2 linked regions of the Astyanax mexicanus genome follow. The protein of the gene in region 2 purifies or fractionates together with the protein of the main gene of each other region. This does not show direct contact. Links are inferred from orthologs where the notes say so. Each region holds a gene or a part of one and is shown on either strand. Other genes may lie near its edges.

Region 1 (10,869 bases), on a different chromosome or scaffold from region 2:
TGACAGGATCCTTACAGGGAGCGGGCCACTTGTTTGAGATTATCAGAGCTGGTGGGGTTTAGGATGGCACAGCTCTGGAACAGCTCTAGCGACTGCTGGATCTTCCCCTCCAAACGCAGGATCAGAGCTACACATATAAACAAACACATTATAGAAATATATAAGAACATGGAACAACTTTGAAGACAAAAATATGGCAGGCTATTGAGCTGCGATGGAACCAACCTTGGACATAAACAGCATATTCACACATGCCCTGAGTCTCCTGGAGCTGCTCTTTAATGATGGCCTGGAACAAGACAGGAAAGGGAACATATGAAACACCACATACTTCTTGTTTACAACACGTTCGCTGAGCACAGCCACCTTGTACACATCTCACCTTGCAGGTCTCATAGTCTTTGCGGATGTAGTGAAGATGAATGAGCCAGTTTCTCCTCTCTAGAATCGGAAGTTCTGGGGCTGAAACAGGAACACACAGATAGATCAAATTCAAAGTCAAAGTCAAAGTGGTTTTTATTGTCATTTCAGCTATATACAGAGTACACAGTGAAACGAAACAACGTTCCTCCAAGGACCATGGTGCACATAAACACAGTGTAGACAGAACAATAGTGCAACAGTACAAAAGTGCAGACAGACAATACAACACCATACAGACAAAGAATAATAAATAACAAGACAGTGTGCAAATTTTGCAGTGTGCAAAAAGGACCAGGTGAGGTAGTAATTACTCTATTACACAGTGTGCAATAGAGTCCAGTGAGGTAGTAGGGTTTTTAGTGCTTTCCATTTTCTGGGGTAAGTGGGGTAAGAGTGTGTGTGCATGTACAGAAAAAACATCATTTCAGTCTCTGCAGTTAAGGAGTCTGATGGCTTGGGGGTAGAAGCTGTTGCAGAATCTGGTCGTGCTGGACCGGATGCTGCGGTACCTTCTTCCCGAAGGCAGGAGGGAGAACAGTTCGTGTGAGGGATGAGTGGGGTCATTCACAATGCTGGTTGCTTTGCGGATGCTGCGGGTGGTGTAAATGTCCGTGATGGAGGGGAGAGAGACGCCGATGATCCTCTCAGCTGTCCTCACAATACGCTGGAGGGTCTTGCGGTCAGAGACGGTGCAGGTCCCAAACCAGGCAGTGATGCAGCTGCTCAGGATGCTCTCAATGGTCCCTCTATAGAAGAGTGTGAGGATGGGTGGAGGGAGACGGGCCTTTCTCAGCTTCCGGAGGAAGTAGAGACGCTGCTGGGCTTTCTTGGCTGTAGAGCTGGTGTTCAGGGTCCAAAAGCGAGTGATCAATAAAGCTTTACATGTCATAGTTCCTAGATTATTACCCCTGAAATTTTAGCATGTGTATTTTAAGCCTTTTGCAAAAGTTTGACAAAGCAATTAGCTGCGCATAACAGATCAGTCACACATGAGTAATACTTACAGAGCCAGACTAAAACACTCAAGACAGGGTGTTAACCCTTGAAATCTTTCTTGATAGATTTGCACCATAAAAAAGGGGGCCTTCTGTTCAGAGACATATTCAGCCTTTTGCCTCCAAAGTTCACTTCAGAGCATGCCTCATCTTCTAAAATATTAAGCGCCGACTTCAATAGACACAAAACAACAGGATTACTTAGCTCAGGGTTCAAGCTAAGTTCCACATTACTTAGTTTACACATAATCTGACGCAGTCTGACATGAATAAAGACATGCATGTTTTAGCGACTGCATTTTCTGACAGAAGGCACATTTTTCAGTGTCTCTGATAAGGAACACTCTGCCGCTGTGCTCCCTCCTCACTGCTGGAGACCATGTAAAGCTCCCCCATTCTAAACCCAACAGGCACCGCAACAAAGGAAGCATCTACAGTGAGGGGCTGCATCTGCATCTTACTTAGCTGGCTCATAAGGCTGCTGGCAAAATCTGATTTCAAGCAGTTCTATTCCTGGACAGACTTTTCTCCCTGAGCTGTAATCCTCTTCAAGGCTAATCGGAGACTGGAGAAGAAAACTCAGCCAATCAGCACCACCCACAGGAGGAAGGAGAGAATGGCAATTGAGACGAATTGGAGCAGGGACAAAGCTCTGAAACACTTTTTATACAAAAACCTTGCATCTTCAAATGACAAATTTACAAAAGTAGAAAAAAATAATCTCTCTTAAACTCTTAACGTGGAGGTCAATGAAAAAAATATTTTATTCCAAGTAATTGTGGAGCATTACTGTTGGTTAATTCCTCAGAAAGTTTTGATACAATGTAAACAACAACTGCAAGCGAAAAAAAAAATCTGCAAAAATTGAGGCATGCCAAGAATGAAATTCAATGAAAACAATGATATGCAAATGATATGCACATGAAATACAAAAAATAAGAATTAGTAGTAAATCTACCTGAAGTTTCATTACTATTAATCACACCAATAACTGCATAGTTTCTAGATGCAATGAAACGTATAAAACACATAACTGTTGCCACTACAGCCAAGAAGTCTATAATCTACCTATCAGCAAATCAATATCAAATATTTAATTAATATAATTTTGCGTCACGTCTAGTTTAGATCAAAGAATTTAATTAATCACATCATGAATCAAACACTTGTCACATTATTATAACTGTAATATCTTAATGTAAATAGAAGAGAATATGTCGCCGTAACATATATGGCCACTGTTTTAAGCCCTCTCTAATCTTCTTATAGGCTAAATACTAGATACTGGTGTTCAGCAGCTGTCTTTTTAATCTAACAAACCTTTTTTAAGACGAGGCTTCTTAGGGTCAGTGGCCACCGGCAGCGGAGCATCCTAAAACAAATAAATTCATACAAATTAATTTATCAAAATGTTCAGCATAAATGAATAACATAATACAATATTTCAATATTAAACAAATGCTAAACTTTTTGACTAATTTTACAGTGTGACTAGAGTACCATGTGATACTGTCAGATTATTTTCATGCACAAAGTAACCACTGTGTGAACAGAAAGACGATGTCATTATATATACACTGCATAGATACAAATAGGGATTAAAAATGGTATTAAATAATAGTTTATTTTGTTGGAGTAACTGTTTCTGCTCTCCATGGAAGGCATAATTCTGAAACATTGCCGGGAGGTTTTATTGTATTCAGCATTAGGTTAGTATTAGTAAGGCCCAGATGTTGATAAATTTCACCCATCTTATGCCTAACTGTCCAAATCAAGGCTTTTATTCCCCTCTAGCCCTCACATTGCACATTCTAATGACAGTAGACAAGCTGTGTATGCATTTCCAGCTTGTGTGAGCAATGGGTGTTTGTAACTTAAATAAGCTGAATGCAGTCATTAGAAGGAGTGTCCACAACCATTTGAACAAACAGCTCTGGAAAAAAATAAGAGACCATTTCAGTTTCTGAATCAGTTTCTTTAATTTTGCTATTTATAGGTATATGTTTGAGTAAAATGAACATTGTTTTTTTTCTATAAACTATGGACAAAATTTCTCCCAAATTCCAAATAAAAATATTATCATTTAGAGGATTTATTTGCAGAAAATGAGAAATGGCTGAAATAACAAAAAAGATGCAGAGCTTTCACCTCAAATAATGCAAGGAAAACAAGCTTATATTCATAAAGGTTTAAGAGTTCAGAAATCAATATTTGGTGGAATAACCCTGGTTTTTAATCACAGCTTTCATGCATCTTGGCATGTTCTCCTCCACCAGTCTTACACACTGCTTTTGGATAACTTTATGCCACCCCCGGTGCAAAAATGCAAGCAGTTCAGATTGGTTTGATGGGTTGTGATCATCCATCTTCCTCTTGATTATATTCCAGAGGTTTTCAATTTGGTAAAATCAAGTTTAAGTGGTCTTTTTTTTTGTACAGAGCTGTATAGTGTGGCTAATACCGTGAGCAGAGACAGGATGAATGAACTGACTGTCAGAAGGTGGGTAGCTACAGAAATAAGAGCTAACTAAAACTTTATTTTATGAAAGACTCGATATTTTAGTGTGTTCTCAATAGCCTACCAGCCCCTGCAGACGAGTAACAAGTACAGAAAGACTGAAATGAGCTTTACCACAAAAAACAGCCTAAACTGAGTTAACGGTAACGGTAGCATAAACACTAAAGCTTAGTTAGGCTTAGTTAGTGGCTGTATTTCAGACAGTCAGGCAGCTACAGGGGTTAAACAGTAGGTTATCTGAGACACTGTAGCTGTTGTTTAATGGGTTTAAATCGTATCATTAGCAGCGCTGCTGGCTAACAGACGCGCTTGATCTGCAGCTCCGCTGTTCAGACAGACCCTCCCAGCGAACCGCCCCGCTATATATATCCACTGCCCCGCTTCACCAACACACACTTTATACACAGCTACAGCTACAGAGTTTCACTGAGAGCCGCTGCAGCTCCATAGCCCCATTCTCACCGCTTTAACCGTCTCCTCATCAGCCATCCCTCCAGCTCCAGAAAACACACTTCCGGTTTCTACGCGGCCCCTGAAAACGCACGGCCGTTACCATAGTAACTAGTCCCGCCCCCATCCAAACGAGTCCAAAACGATTTTCTGTCAAAAGTCCCCCCTAAAACGTAATAAAACTCTGGTGATTAAATACTATGAACTAGTTTGATAATATATAGAGCTTAAAATAATTTAAAATCTACACATAAAATAATGTAGATAAAAGAAAAAGTATATATACTCATACATACCTGTCAAGTTTTGGACTTAAAAATAAGGGATTTTTTCCGCCGCCCCAACAGCCCAACCGAGGGCTAAAAATGTATATATATATATATATATATATATATATATATATATATATATATATATATATATATATATATGTATGTGTATATATATATATATATATATATATATATATATATATATATATATATATACACATATATATATATATACATATATACATATATATTTTTTTATTATTATTTAATAGATTTAAAATTGAAATTGAAGGGTGCACAAATTTACAAAAAGGACATGGATCAGATATATTCCATAAGTAAATAATAGTCCTAAGGGGCCTACACAATTAATAATCTTTCATTAATACTTCTTTCTATCATTCAGTCCACTCCTGATCAGTTCAGTTAATTTCAGCCCTCTCCACATTTTCTCTCTCTCTCTCCAGCTCAACCATCTCTTCTACCCCTTCTAAATAATACATTACACCACAATACTTGAGATTTAAACAAATTCTAACAAACCCTAAAACTAGCCCTGAACTAATAGAGTTTGGAAATTATATGTTTTGGCTGATCAGGCACATCAGGGCAGGGCATTATATGTATGTAGATTTTTCTCAAACCCTGAATATCTATCTAGCTAATTCTAAAGTTAAGCTAACTGAGTCACAAGCTGTATTTTATTAAACACACAATGGGTTGAATTTATGTTTTGATTCAGAGAAGAGTCTTTTTAACCAGCTATCAGAAACAATCTCATCACAGTTTACATGGTTAGTTACCTTTCTTTTAGAAAAATCTCCGTATATCCAGATTAGTTTTAACGACAGCTGCTCCGACTAGCTGCCTGAACTCACAGCGAGGGGAGGGGCGGGGCTGGCTCTGCCCGACACTAAACTGCGCTCCGCAAAACCAGCAATCTGATTGGCTGTTTCTCCTGAAAGGCGGGACTTTCTCCTTGAACCGGCAACACGATTGGTTAAGAGACACACAGTGCATTGTCGCCTGTGGCCTATATATTTTTTTTATTTAGTATAATACGGGAAATTTACGGGAAAATACTAATACGGGAGGACGACGGGAAAGAGGAGTAAAATACGGTAGTTTCCCGGCCAAAACGGGAGACTTGACAGGTATGTACTCATATAATGATGTATTGTTATAAAATAACTAAGTTCTGGAAGCAGGAACATGCCTGAAGAACCTCCCCATTCCAGTCTGACATCCTAAAAATTCCCTGGACCTCTGATATGCCATGGCAACTTTTCGCAAAAATTATTCAAATTGTCAACCATATAATTGTTTATATTTGCAGTTCACGTGCATGCACCAAATACTCTGCACTTTAGTATTTCGGTAGCTTTTTTCGCTCTTTTACATTGTTTTATTTACATTTTGATTTGTTGATATGTTATTATTATTCTTATTATTATTCTTATTCTTGTTTTGTAGCTGTTGGTACAAAATATTACAAAAAAGTTTAGATTTTTTTGCTCCTGCTAAATGTTTGAAACTGTTATACAGTGGTGCATAAAAGTTTGTGAATACCTTAGATTTTTTTTTCTTTTCAGCTACTGTATAATATTGAAGAAGTAAATACAGACCTCAGGCTCTTTCAGTTTAGTTTTTTTTTTTTAACTGAGACTGAAAAAATCACCATCAGGTGTCGCTGTTCAGCGCCGAGGCAAACAGTTATCACACACTTTCACTGTTGCAGCTGATATTATTACACCGTAGCATATTAGATATGTCGTTGTACAATGATATTTTGCATTCATATATAAAACCCCCTGTTGTCTTTGGGTGGAGTTTGTATTTTGTTGTCTTGAGTCACGTGACAGCTTAAGTTAGTCCTATATAACGCACAGTGTAAAACTCTTAAGACGTCGCATCTGATCCCCATGTATCGTTTATTTATTAATCTGTATATATCTGTCTATTACTGATGAGTTTACTTTATATTTTTATAGTCCATGAATTAACTAGCTATATTTGTATAGAGTACTTTATCATTTTATAGAGTTCATAAGTTTACCTAATATTTTTAGAGTTCATAATTGAATTATATCTTTTAAAAGTTCATAAGTTTACTTTATAATTTTTATAGAAATAAAGTTTCCTTACATTACACTTTCATTAATTATTTTTTTATAAGTTTAATTAACTTTTATAAGCTTAATTAGCTTAATTAAGACTTGTTACAAACCCATTTAAAAGTAAGTTTTTTGCATTGCTTAATCCTGTTTCTTATTACATTATGTTGTAAAAACTTTGAATCTTAAAGCTGCATTCTATGAATAAAAAGTGCTTTATAAATAAATAAATAAATAAATAGATAAATTATATTATTGTTATTACTCTAGTCACATATTCAAATATTATTTAGTTCTTTAAATTATTAACAGCATTCACACCAGTTTTTTAACTTTTGATTTAACTTTAAATGTACTTTATTAGATTTAAAGCTTTAAAAATATTAGCTTTTAAAATGTAATAGAATTACACAGTCTCAGAATTAGATTTGAATTCTCAAACGTTTAAATGTTCAAATAATCAGAAATAAGCATTCAAGAATGTTTTTATGAATCTTTAGGGTTCAAGCACCGAAGGTGCGTAGAACCCTATTGTTTTTGCTAAAATTTTTAGGGTTCAAGCACCGAAGGTGCGTAGAACCCTATTGTTTTTGCTAAGATTTTTCTTCTTCTTCTTCTTCTTATTATTATTATTATTATTATAATTATTATTATTATTCTTTTTCCTCTGAAAAAGCAGTTGTGCAGCCTAAACTGTAAGTCGTAGAGATATGAAACTTGGTAGGTAGATGTAGGATCAGTGCATCTCGGCGGACAACAAAAATGGCACCGATTGGTCAAGTGGTGGCTCTATAAACAAGGAAATTCATTTTTCACATTTTTCTCAATAACTCAAAAACCATAAGACCTACATTCACAATTCTTTTTTTGATGGATTCCTTGGGCCAATACCTACAATCATGCACTTCCGTCTATATAGATTTTTTGCTAATTTGCATAATATGCAAAACATACTTTTGCGAACTAGTCCTAGGTATTTTGACCAATCCTGACATGTTTGGTATCAAAATACTCAGGAGACCATGCTCTTCAATATTCATCAAAAATGTTGAAATTTGTACACAATATGGCCGTCATATGCAAATTAGCCCTTCCGGATATATGCCCTATTCACTCCAACAGTTAAATTTGGAGCACTGTTTCTCAGCAACCGTGCAACCTAGCAAGCTGAAAATTTGCATACAGAATATATCATATATCCTCTAAAGGATGGTCAAAGGGCAACTGAATCAATCAACATGGCTGAACACCATCAGCCAATCAGCATTCAGCAGACATTTTGGCAGGCTGAATGTTGAACAATCTGGATCACATTTGGCAGTTATTTTCAGGTGGAGACACTGTAGTGACCTGCACAGTCCTGAAACAATCCGGCCACTGGGGGACATAAACGAGTATATGTCAATCATGCTGTACTATTTTGACATCACATTATTTTTGCCATATTTAGTACAGTGGCTCTGACAAATTTGTCAATACAACTATGTTTAAAAAGTGCTTTGTTTATTCATAATTGCTAGTTGTTTGAAAATAGCTATATTGAAACTGGTCTCTGGATATTTGGCATATCACCTCCATTTCGGTTATGTTGCACACTGTAGAGTCTCTAGGTAAATGTTCATTAAAAACATTTGTGAAAATTTCACATACAATACTGTCCAGGCATCAAGCAATCTGTGCGTCCTTGGAATTTCTAACCTAAATTGCTGTAACTCTGCAGTATTTGCTGTAATCTCACAATGTTAAAGACCTCTGTACAAAATCACTCTGATGAAGCGCCATTTAATTCAGAACTAGATTTAGAATAACTTTGTAATTACATGTCATATCAGAACATGCACTCCTTTGTGCCTCTTCTCAACATTAATAACAGGTGAAAGACTTTTGATCATTTCTAAATGTGACAGTGTGTCTCCAATTATGCTAGACCTTCTTACACATCATCATCCTATGCTCTAGTAGGCACCATTGTGCCAGTTGGGGCTCGATGAAGTGCCATTTAATTCAGAACTAGATTTAGAATAACTTTGTAGTTACATGTCATGTCAGACAATGCACTCGTTTGTGTTAATTTAAACTTGTTTAGTCAAACATTTCAGCTTGTTTTGCAAAGGTCAAAAGGTCAATCTGAACACCACTTTGGGAACATTCTGGTTGAAGCCACCTGATCAATACCCATAACATGTAGACACCTTTTGACTAGTTCTAACTCACTTGATGAATATCCTACAAACTTCAATAGATTTGTATGTGAATTTAAGCACTGATCATGTTGAAAGGCCTCTGCTCAATATTAATAACAGGTGAAAAACTTTTGATAATTTCTAAATGTGACAGGGCATCTCCAATTACATTAGACCTTTTCACACATCACTATTCTATTGGTGCTTGAACCCGCAGATTGCCGCTTGCATATATTATTATTATTGTTATTATTATTATTATTGTCCCTTAGTTTAATTTTTCTCACTCTTATCACTCTGTAACACATTTCCCAAGATCTACTTTGTTGAAAACGTTATTACACATATAAAGAAATGTTAATTTTCACTTTAAAGAACTTTCTGTACATTTTATACAGTTTTCTGTGGTGTGGGGGGGGCGCCTTTTTGCATTATACACAGTACTGCCTGGTTAAGGTGGATGATAAAGTGGTTAAATAACACATTTTTAAAATGATGATTATATTATTACATTTTTAGTTCAAACATTCAGTTTTAAATAGTGTTGCAGCTGTTTAGCAGGTTAGCATTTAGCTTGGCACTAATTACCTGGCGCCCACTGTAGTTGGTATAGCATTAGCTTTTTGCCTCCTTTTTTAGCAGTTCCGATTCAATATATATGTCAGTATATTGCAGTACTGTAAGCAAGGCAATTTATTATTATTTTTAAAATCAGATTTTACAAAAATGCTGATTGTATAAAAACACTTATTTATGAAATGTGACTAAAAGAAAAGGGTTGTTTTTTCAGGACTACAGTATATATTTAAGTTAAAGCATGTATATTAGGGTTTTTTTATTCTTTTACCTTAAAGGCTGGCAACTCTTTCTCACACATACTCTTGCTGGTTTGCATCTAATTCTATGTTTCTACCTTTTTTAAATAGGGCTAGTTTTTTTTCTCTTAACACTTTTAAAATCATATTAATCTAATGAGATGGGGCTTAAAGCAGCTTTATATAAGATTTATTTCTTTTATCATGTAAGCTTATAAAATGGAGCTCAAAGCAGGTTTATGATATTCCCCTGTCAAGAATGTATTTGTGCTTTGAATCACCACTGAATACATATCATATTATATGTTGATTACACTCAGAGACTGTAAAAAAAGATGGACGTCGTGTCTCCATTCCCATTCGTTCAGTGAAAATGAAGCCAAAACCTTCCGCCATATTGGCGATCCTGATACCCGAGTCTGTACGGTAGAGCCCAGACTGTGGAGAGACAGCCTACTCATTTGAATAACCCCGCCCCTGAGGGCTGCCTCACGGTCACAGACTGCAGAGAGGAGCTGATGGTCTGTTATTGGTCCCGCCCATAACCAGCCATTTTTCAATAGCCACACCTTTTTGAATAGAGCTGCATAACGTTTAAAAAAAACAATTTTGTGGGGATATAAAAAATTGACAATATAAGTAGAGGTTACACTAGCTGTTGCATTTAAATAAAGGAGGTAGAATTACAGTATATTAGAAAAAAACGTGATTGAAAGTTGTCTGTTTTGCCATTGAAATCTATGGGGATGGGTGGGGTTACACAGCTTTCTGCAACCGAACAGCAGGGGGCGCCCGACCTGTGGGGGCTTTACTTTTGAGAGACGATGCTCTGTCCAGCTATACACAGTCTATGATTACACTAATTAAGGCAAGCAGAAAAAGTTTCATACTTAAAAAAATACTTTCAACAATTTTATTTACATTTTTAAACTTTAAAACAGGTCAATTTGACCCGTAACATAACAGGAGAGGTAAATAGATCTATAAACACTATAAATGGACCTACAATCCTCAGTGTGTAAGTATTCAAAAGAGAGATTTCTCAGAAGCTCTATTGCACAAGTAAGACACAAGTTTAATATTAAATTACAATATGATT
Region 2 (11,175 bases):
CTATTGTAAACCTTTCGAACAGTGCTGACCTGAAGGAGCAGGTTGTCAATGGCAGTCTGCACCTCCAGCGTGAGACTGTAGCTGGCGTCATCCTGGCACAGGGTGAATCTGTCATTGATGCTAAAGACGGGCACCGCAGATACGGCCGTGCTTGACTGAGAGCTCTGCTGGTACTTCTCCCGACCCTGCATTACCTTCACCTGCAGCTGCTCTAACTCAGCCCTGAAAACACAAAACAACTCAACACCAATTAGTAACATATTTGTAAGGTACTGCTATGAAGTTGGTGATTAAAATGCATTGAATTTGGATTGTAAGATATTTAACATTTTTTTATGCAATTCCTCTTCAGATAATTTGTAAATTAAGTAAATATATCATGACAGTAATTGATTTATGACTATTAATCATTAATCATTAATTAAACATCTAAAATAAAGTAATATTAATAATTATTAATATTTCACATTTATCTAGGAGAGATTTAGCTTCTCCATAATAAGAGCTTCTTTTTTAAATTCATAAGGAATATCACTAAATAAGAGCTTTGTCCAGCATTACATGTGTAAAGTCTGTACCTGAGCGCAGCCACCTTTGTCTGGGTCTCTCGGCTCATCTTTACCTCATCTCCTGGCCCTGCCTCCATCTGCTGCGGCTCTGTAGTGAGGCCTGACACCCAACCTAGTGACATCACAACCAGACAAGGGAGTAAGATATTTAAAATAGGGTTAAAATACACTATAAAGACATAAGGTTTTGGTCACACCTCTAATCATTGAAACTGTGTGTTTCACAAAGTCTCATTTCCATAGGTGTACGAAATCAAGTTCCAAGTAATGCAGTCTTGGGACTTTACAGACCTTAGATAGAGAACGTGTGTTGCACTGTGTGCAATAGGAGGTCAGCTGGTGAAATTTATTCCCTACAAGATATTCCACAATAAGCTGTGAGTGGTTATTATTAAACAGTGAAAGCATTTAGGAACCACAGAAACTCAGCCACAAAATGTCTGATCATGTAAAGTTACAGAAGGGGTGTGCTGATGAGAATAGCTGATCAATGACTGCAGAGCTCCACACTTGCTGTTAGAGCTGCAAAGGGGGACCGACTGCACGCTAATGACTATGGTAAAAGAACAGAATGTGGTAAAACCTCCTGTAGGTATAATGTGTAGGTGTCCTTATACATTTTTTAATATGGTTCTATATGGCACTACTTTTAATATGGAATCTGCTAACAGCAGATAGAAGCAACATGGATGGTAGAATGTAAGGAGTATTTTAACTTAGTCTTCAGTCTCTGACCTGTGTAGGTGGTAGTTAGAACTTCCTCATATGACTCCTTTCCTACGCACCCCCCCTGGATTGATGTGACACTTTCTGACAAAACCTTTTGATCACAGAATAATGCAGATTAGTGATCAAACAACACTGATCAGCTATTTTGAAATCAGCAGAGAGTGTTAACCTGTCAGTGTCACACATACATTCTCAAAGCGTAGCGTGGGTTCGTTGGAGCTGTCCAATCCATAGACCTCGACTGTCCCATCATCTCTGCCCACCAGAATATCTTTCACACCATCACCCAGAATGTCAAAGGTATCGATGCACAGCACCCCTTAAGAAGATAATGAAATAAAAAGTTAAATTTAGTTAGAAATTTTTAAGTTAGTGTATTTTGTCTACATCCAAAAATATTGCAATAAATATTGCATATTATGAAAAGGTCTTTAAATATCACTTGTGCACTCAAAAAACATATGATATTTTCATTATATTTTTACAATATCACCCATCCGTAAACTCACCTACAAAACTGTTTTAAATTTCCACAAAGCTGTCTATAAGATTTGCCCCTACCTCCTTTTTTCTTCTCATTGTCCACCTCCCATTTAGAGACAGGAGCAGAACTGGTTAACTGGATCAGACCCAGTTTCCCATCAGTGGTTCCATACAGCACCTCCTCCCCATTCTTACCTACACATAAAACATACGTTGTGTCAACAATCATACACACACTCATATCTACATATTTCAATTACTATTTTGTACTGTTCTGCATCAGACCTAGGTTTCACGGCTCACCTCCATCTCTGTTGTGAAGCTCCAGAACAGATGGAGGTCCAGGAACCTCAACATCATATAACAGCTCAGAGCCCTTCAGGAAACAAGAATTCATACTGTACTATAGGATCAGATGTTTACTAAAATGTTATGAGTGAATAAGAATGTTTGAGTAGAAGAAAGGAAACACATGGAAAGATTGTGGATGACTCATTTTTATAGATAAGCTCAACTGGATTTTGTTTAAAGTGACAGTCTGTAAATTTTGAGGATTTGGAGGCCTCTCTGGTGAGAATGTGTAATTGCACAGAGCATGTGGTACAGTACTTTTAATGCAGGTTAATGTAAACAAATTGCTATGTAAAATTCAATTTTTTGAGTATATTGTTTTGTTCTTGTTCATTTATAGAATTCTGTCAAAATGGGCAGATTAATCACGTCCAACTAACCTACCAGACCACTCTGTTTTTAAATTGTTGTGCCGGAACACTGATATCATTCATTAGAATATTTTCCCCCTTATTCCCCCACTTATGACAAATACTACTACTTTCAATTTAAAAGACAAAATCTTAGGGACTGCTACTTCCAGTTAGCATTGTCTCATTCACCTGATACTAAGAGGCTTCTATTAGCTTTGAATGGTGATATTTAAACTGCTGGGCAGATAAGAGTTAAATTCAGTACAATCACCTGTAAAACACGAAGAACTCTGTCCTGACAGGCCAGAACAGGCACTGTACGGCCCACTGTTTCCACAGGTAAACAAACTATGTCATTGATCTTGTCTCCTGACAGGTAATAGTCCTGGTCTTTGCAGTCACAGTAGTGATTGTAGATGTAGCTGGCACAGACAAAAAGATCTGCTCCAGAAACATGCCTGCCAACAATGTATAAATATTAACGTTCAGGTCACGTACATCCATTGTAACCAGCATATAATGAAGCATATAATGAGCATATAATGAAAAAATAATGACTCACATGGCGTTAATGCTCTCAGTCAGATTGGCCTCAAAAGAAAGGAACTGTTTTCCCTTTTTGGTGAAGCCCCTGACCTCAGAGCCAGAACATACAAAGATTTTCTCCTGAGGGGTTCCTAAAGCTCCTCCCAGTTCTAGTCTGGAGATCTTCTGCCCTGGGAGACTTTTGAAAACAGGCTGGATAAAATAGAGTTTTTTTGCTTTAGCAGTAATTATATAATCTCCAATAGGTGAATAAAGTATTTGAACCATCATAAAGTCAATAATGTTAAAATAATTAAAACACGCACCACAGCCTCTCCCTTTTTCATCCCGAAACAGTTCACTACACCATCGTGGTCTGCAACAGCAACCTAAATGGAAGAAATCACAAAAAAAACATAACACTTAATAAAAACATCCAGTTAAAGCAAGATTATGTAACAATTTTATCTTACATTAGCAGCTTCAGAATCGTATTGATGTTCCACTGAGTGTAATAGGGAGAATGGTGCCTATGACATTGCCACTCTGAAATGTTGTTACTGTGCTATAATGTAACTTTGGTGGAGCTGCATAATACAAATGCTACCAAACACAAACCATATTTGTGTAAAAATAAAATAAATAATATTACTCTATGGGCTCAGCCCACATGCTTCTTTCTCATTCACAGATGCTGCTTTTGTATATGTCAGCTTGTTAAAAAATCCAAATGTAGAGCTGCTCCATGTAGTGTGATTTGTATTTACTGCTGTAGAGTAAAAGTTAATTACACTCCCTGGCTTAGAGAAGGATGCCTGGGGCAAATCCACCCACTTTTTTACAGCTAAGACTAAGTCTAAGACTAATCATATGTAATCATAGGTTTACATAGGATCTCCGGTGGATTTCGCATTTTACAGAGACTTTAAAACTAGGTTAGTGGCTGAACTGCAGTGTTGTTAGCCAATCAGAGTAGATTTTTGTATGTTTTCATGAGCAAGAGCCGAAATTCCCCCCACTCCTCCAGAGGACTCCAGAGGACAGTTTTATCGGATCACCAGAGCACTTCTTTCGTAAAAAAAATGGCTCGCATGGCATTCATTCATACTAGATATCACATTAAAGCACAGTTTTATTGGATCACCAGAGCACTTCTTTCATAAAAAACGGCTCACATGGCATTCATTCATAGTAGAGATCAAGAGACAATTTAAAAAGAATGAAAAAAAAAACAAGGAGTGAGACCATTAAAATGTTATACCATGCACATTTTATAATTCAAAAAATGTGTTTTAGATTAGAGGTGGGCGAATATGGACCTAAAATATTATAACAATGTTTTAGAACTACTTTAGATTTTGATGATGTGTTTTATTACATTGTTCATTATATTTGCTTTTTTTTTTACCATTTTTTTCATTGTTTTGGCTGCCATGCTTCATCATTTTGTATGTGCACTTGTGCAAGAATTTTATATTAATGGTTTGATAGCAATTGTTTGATGAATTCTGTAACTACATTCTTTCAATTCATTACCAAAACATAACAGTAATACAGATCAAGATTTGAAAGATAAAAAAAGTCAACTTACCTTTTGTGTCGCTTTTCGTCCCACTGCTGGTAACAGTTTCATGGTTTTCTGGGATGTTACTCCGACCTTGAAAGACAAATAAGAAAAAATAACTCCTGCTTATTCGTGCCAATAACATGGTGAACAGTTTACTAATGATAACTACTGTTTAAATTTTCAGTACTTATCACATAGCATTGGATAGTTTGGAGTCTCAAAAGTAGCTTCTTACCTGAAGATAATCAACGTGGTTTAAACTAAGTTCCATCTTCTCTGTTTTGATCACAGATGTGGGTGTAGCTGGCTGTAGATCACGGAATCTCAGTTACTGATTAGTCGATTAGCTTCAGAGCTGGGTGTTTCTGCTGTGTGCTGCCGGATAGTTCAGGTATCTGTCGTTTCCTCTAGTTTCTCGGAGGTTTAAACGTAGTCTGAAAGAAATGCAGTGTCTCAGTGAGCGGATTAACTCCTGGATTAAGTGCTGCTGACTGTCCTCGCTCCTCCCGCAGGTTCTAGCTGGAAGGCTAACTAAAGCTAACCTAAATAACAAGCCTAGTTAGCTTACATGCTACCCGCAGAAACAGATTTTTCCTTCGTGTGAGAGTTAACGCGGCTCGTTAGTCCTCTGGAAGGAGGTAAAAACCCGACATTAGCCCGTATTATATATCATTTTCTAGAAGAGCAAAAAAGCTTAGCGAATAGATTAATAAACATCCAGCAAAGCTAAGCAAGCTGCCCTCTCAGCGCCGCCATGTTTGGTCTCTGACGCATCCCAGGTTTCCATGGAGACAAACAAATTAGGCAAAAAAAAAGGAAATAATATTGCAGAAATACATATTAATCTGGAAAAGTTTTTTTTGGTCTCTAAAAATAATTCAATATCAATAATTTAATTTTTTTTCATTCTATGACTTTTATTTTTTTATTATTAAAACAATAAGTAATTTATCAGAATTAATCAAAATAAATATTTTGATCAAACTTTTATTCTCACAAGAACAGATTTTTTTTGTTATTTGTGCTTTTGAACTGTACAGACCCCTGAGCCATTCCACCAAATGTGTTCCTTTTTTGTCCCCAGGAAATTACATGTTACATGTGCACACAAAATAACGTTCAAATACATTTTATTATGAAGCATATTGTCTTGTACATGAATATATTTGCGCAATATTCATACATGCAAACATATCCACTCTGATTGGCTAACAACACTGTAGTTCAGCCAGTGACCTAGAAAACTGAAAAAATAGCATTTGTTACCTGTCCCCACTCTCTAACTATAAACTTTACCATGAAAAATAATGATTACAATTTTTCAGAGATGTAATTTTTTGCATTGTTGTAAGTCCATAATACTTAAGATAAAAGAACTAAAAACATTTTAGATGTGTCCCTGGGTTTCATTCATTCCTGTTACCGTAAAACATCTGAAACATCTGTAACGCTACACATCTACAACAGAAAGTTACATCAGATGGTTCTTCTGAAGATCATGAGAAGACCAAAATTAAGTTCCCCCATTAGTTTTTTTTTTTTGTATATTTGATCTTATTGTAACTATGACTGAGGAGGTCAATCTCAACACTCTGTCCTGTTACCTAAATTAATTCTTAGATCTTATTGTGGGAAAATCACTAGAATGTGCTCAGTGTCCTCATGCTATTGGCATTGCTGCTATTTAGCTATTTTTCATGTTTTTGCTAATTCTATGCTAAAAACAGTCTTGTTACTTTAATTCCTGTTACTTAAAACAAATAAAAGTAACAGGAATGTGTGCCAGAAACAGGACTGAGTTCCAGTAACAGGTGTAATTTTTTTGTCATTAATATCAACTATTTGAACATACAGTCAACCATTTCTTTAAAATAAACGCTTTCTTGAGAGAAAATCAATCAAAGAATTAGTGGACTTGCTTTTAAACATGCTTTTTAAATGTCAAATGAGTTTTGTAACCATCTTCAGCTTAGAAACCTTGTAAAGCTGCCTAAGATTGACCAGTACATGTATTGAATAGTTACATACAGGTGTTATTAGATTCAGAGTTGAAAAAAAATAAGTTTAATTTGGAAGAGTTACAACAAGCAAATGGCACCCATTCAGTGGGAAATTATTTTTAGAGACATCTGATTTAATACACTCAATACTATTACTTGTGGGAAGCACTGTACACCTAAAATCATTGTAAGTGTGAATTCAGAGCCCCAACCATTCAAAAACTGGAATGAACAATGATTCAACATCAGAATTTTAACATTAACTATTGGCTATTAGGCAATGTTAAATAAAGGTTGCTTTAATGTTTTTTTCCCTCTTCAACCTTAAAGAATGTTATGCAATGTGATAAATTAGGAAGTTGGGGATAAGGTGGGATGGTGATCATCCAACACCCTGACCTCACTAATGCTCTTGTTGCAATCAATTCCTTACAGCAGATGCAGTTACTCCAAAAGAAGCAGGGTCAGATTGGGGTAATGTTTCAAAAAGGCAAATAAGAGAATAATTTACTAAACTGAACACATGGTTTAAGAATCTACAAATGTTATTGTTCTTCCGTATAGCTGCATAGGAAGTGTTCGCTATGCTATTTTATTACAGAGCTCATGCTTCCCTCTGCTGACAACTTTTATAGAGATATGGATTTCATTTTCCAGCGAGACTTGGTACACTGCCCACACTGCCAAAAGGACCAATTGGTCTTATATAATATTCAACATTTCTTAGACACTGATTTTTGGGTTTTCATTGGCTGTAAGACATAATCATAAACAATAAAAAAAATGCTTAAATTAGATCACTGTGGGTACAATACATCTATATAATATGAGTTTCACATTTTTAACTGAATTACTGAAATAAATGACCCCATTTTGAAAATAATAATTCATTCAATTAACCTTGCCACCCTAACTTGCACTTTGCATAAAATGAATAAATTTTCTGTTTTTGTAGTTTTTATTTATTTATTTATTATATTCTTTATAAAGTTCTATACTTGTGTACACATTGTGTAGTCAAATCAATATATTTGATTTACTGATCTCTTTGCCATATCTGTATATTAGACTACTGCAATTTGTGGATTTTGCTCTTGGATTTATAAAGTTATCTAATCTAGTTGTCTTACCTAGTTGTCTTATCTGTGAATGTCATTTTTTATAAGGCTTAAACTGCATACATAGGTCTATATGTGGGTGTGTTTGCTTGCAATACCCTATCATGCTTATTATGTTCTGAATTAACTGCATTGTCTTGCTTATTTAAGTTTTAAGTTTTGAGATTTGGTATTGATAAAGATATCTAATGTTGTCATGTTCTTTCTTTTACATATCTTTGTGTATATTTTTAATCTGCGTAAGAGTAAGTCTATATTAATAAATATTATAAAGAAATATTATGATCATATTATGAATGATGATGTGCATTAGAGAACATGCATATTTTATTAGAAGCAATGTAAGCTTCTGATTAACGGGTTTCATGATTTTTTTTCATAGGCTTATTTATCCTAATTATAAGCAAATTCATGCAACAGCGTGCACAAAGCCTTCATCATCAAGCAGGTTACAAAAAATATGGACAAAATGCTCTTGCCGTAACAGCCTTCATCTGGTCTTGATGATGCCGAGAACATTTTGTCAGTTCTCTTATTGAATAAATCTCATGCAATATGAGGACACTTGAACAGACACAGTGTGATGGTCTGATACAACACTAGACAGCTGTTTTCATAGATATTATCTTCTCCCTCTGTTGAGTCTGTTTGAGAATGAGCATATGCATGCGTGTGTGTGTGTGTGTTTGTGTGTGAGTGTGTGCACTTTCCCCAGCGCATAAGTCAGGGCAATGAATGTCCTTCAGCACCAGGGGAGGGGTCAACACTCAGACACAGAGACGCAGGGGTTTGGAAAAGCTGCCTCATTCTGCCAGCAGCAGAGGACACTACCAGACCTCAAGGAGATGTGAGGACAAAGAAGATGGTCTGCTTCTACATGCGAAAACCAAGGATGCTACGCCTCAAACCTAAACATCTCCCTGGGGTGGGACCCCCCTGAAGAACCAGGGCGGTTGCATTCAATCCATGCTAACTGATGCCTGCTCCTAAGAAGTTCCTGGTGGCTTCCACCTCTATGCCTCTTGCGATGGAATGGGGCTGGAACGTGAGCGTGTATCTGGGGATCCTCATGCTCCTGCTGCTGCTGATGGGGCTCCTACTGTGGATGTTGCTGAAGCAGCTGAGGAACTCTGTAGGAAACAGCGCCCTCCACCCCAGCCGGTCCTTCAGAGGGCCACACTTTGGGTCCTTCAGGGGTCACAATTTCTGAGAAAGAGAGACAAGTATGGAAAATCATGCATTGGATGTAATTTTTCGCCAAAAAAAGCCTTTACAAACATCTTATATTGTTAAACTATGTTGGACAACCAGAGTGGATTATTATCCTGTGACTGAAACATGAAGTTCTGGAAGTGTCCAAGACTGACCACTGAAATCTAGCCAGCCAGCATTCCCAGCTTTTGAGGATAATTCAGATGAAAAACTGCATGTTTATGTTCCTAAATAGAACACAATTTCTTCTTGGGCTTTTTCTGGACCCAACTGCTGGATTGAGTGGCTGTTAATGTTCAGTGAATAAGAAAACCTGAAGAAGAGCTGTCTGGAGTAACGTTAATTAACATCAGCTGTCAGATAGCTAACCTATTTTTATCTGGAAGAAATTAGTATGAAGATTTCTATACAATTATTCCATACAAATTGTTTATTATTGAGTGAATTATAAGCTTTACTTTAAGTAAAACTAGACTATAAACTGTATTTTTCTGAGCTGTTTTTTTCTGTGTGGCTGACAGGTCTAGCTAGCTAACTTTATCATACTCTATAATCTGCTGTTAGCTAAGCTAATTGTTTCTATTGTCTTACTGAAAATGTTTAGTTTGTGTCCAATATTATGTTATGTAGCCACAGTTAGGTTATCTGTGTAGTGATTTTATAGTAGTTGGCCAACATTAGACTATCATTTGAGTTACTTAAGCTAGCAAGTTGCTATAGCTAGTCAACCAAATTAGGTTAGCTACCGAGCCCAGCTCACTAGCAGCAGTTATTCTAGCACGTCTGTTGTCTGAAACCCGTTTGCTCTAGACAAATGGACAAGTATAGGTACATTTTCTTTGCTTTTTTGCAACATTATTTTATTATTTATTTATATTATTTTGCTTTTCAAAATTAAAGAAAATTTCTGGCCAGGTGGATATTGCTCATTTTAATTCCCCTATTCACCCCTATTCATTTTGGACTCACTTGTGGGCTCCCTCTATTGTTTCACAGTAATTTTCTGATAAAACGGAGAAGAATGTGGGTAGGCTCTTCATAAACTGATTTTATATCATAAATTCGACTTTATATTGCCATTTTTTCCCTAATATTTGGAACATTACTCGGGACACAGTATTGTTTCTGATTACAATATGTTTAATGCGCATTGGTAAATATATATGGCTGCTGAATTATATGTCCTAAGTTTTACTATCTTCATTTTACCGGCTGCAACACATATATCAAATCTCCTACCAGCTAAGAAGAAGAACAAAGATTTTATTTTAACTAAATTATTTGCCATTATTGAACAGAGCTACTGTTAGACAAATAAACAGCAATTTTCTAAAAGAACATGCACAAAGATAATTGATGTTAAAATAAACAAACATACAAAACAGTTAAAAACTCACTGGGTTATGTTTTTCTCACTTTTTTCACATAAAAGCATGTTTTTTTTACCACACTGTTTTCCATATTATCAAATATTTTATTCCACATGTGATTATATTTTCTCTCATGTGACCACACTGTTTTTCACACCTAATCACATTTCCCCCCCCAGCGTGACCACACTGTTTGCCAGATGTGACTACACTTTTTTTCCACGTGACTAAAATGTTGTCCACATGTGAGCATGTCTGTTTACACATAATCCCACATGTAAGCATGTTTTTTATGATCTGACCATTTTTTTCCCTACGTTATTACATTTTTATCACAAGAGATACATGATCATGTTTTTATGTGATAATTTTCCCCAAGTGATCCACACTGTTTTCCTTAAGTGATCATGATCATGTTTTTTTTTACATGGTTATATTGTTTTCCACATATGATCACATGTCTTGTTTTTGTTTACGTAAAATAACATGATTTTTATTGTGTTATCTTGTGGCAATGTGCTTTTTAGACATACTGAAACACTGTATGTAGAATTAGATGTTTGCAATGTATTTAATACTTATTAATACTGGAACTCTAATAAACATGCTAACAATAATGTACAATAAAATACAAGCACTGCAGTCATTGCATTACTCTTGTTGTTTTTTTCATGTCATCTTGTGCATCATCTTTCTGCCAGTGTGTAGAATCCTCCAGATCTGGTAGCCTACAACAACAACCAAGCATGTAAACTTGATTTCTTCTTGTCTAATTGAGTCAAAGAGGCTGGAATATTGTTCATGTCAAAGGCAGATGTTCCTGGAAAAGGGATCAATGAATGTCCGTGCCAAGAGGTCAGTGAGGTTAACGAATCATAATGTGTCCTTGCTTCACTAC

What was found.
Region 1: the proteins of bbs7 (region 2) and bbs4 purify together in Homo sapiens (co-immunoprecipitation; 7 studies listed by BioGRID and IntAct, counting the BioPlex papers as one, with this or other methods). This does not show direct contact. The link is inferred for Astyanax mexicanus from reciprocal best matches to the Homo sapiens genes BBS7 and BBS4.

What each region holds. Positions count from the first base shown.
Region 1 is NC_064409.1:48,862,953-48,873,821, forward strand, and holds the start of bbs4 (Bardet-Biedl syndrome 4 protein), read right to left. Parts: upstream 4,499-10,869; 5' UTR 4,426-4,498; coding exon 4,399-4,425; intron 2,791-4,398; coding exon 2,739-2,790; intron 463-2,738; coding exon 383-462; intron 290-382; coding exon 226-289; intron 128-225; coding exon 16-127; intron 1-15.
Region 2 is NC_064417.1:25,281,528-25,292,702, forward strand, and holds the start of bbs7 (Bardet-Biedl syndrome 7 protein), read right to left. Parts: upstream 5,360-11,175; 5' UTR 4,849-5,359; coding exon 4,813-4,848; intron 4,670-4,812; exon of another isoform or gene 4,668-4,669; coding exon 4,602-4,667; intron 3,400-4,601; coding exon 3,337-3,399; intron 3,224-3,336; coding exon 3,048-3,223; intron 2,944-3,047; coding exon 2,757-2,943; intron 2,158-2,756; coding exon 2,085-2,157; intron 1,977-2,084; coding exon 1,860-1,976; intron 1,618-1,859; coding exon 1,487-1,617; intron 1,390-1,486; coding exon 1,305-1,389; intron 682-1,304; coding exon 579-681; intron 223-578; coding exon 30-222; intron 1-29. Other genes in the region: small integral membrane protein 43-like, read left to right, coding at 8,672-8,905.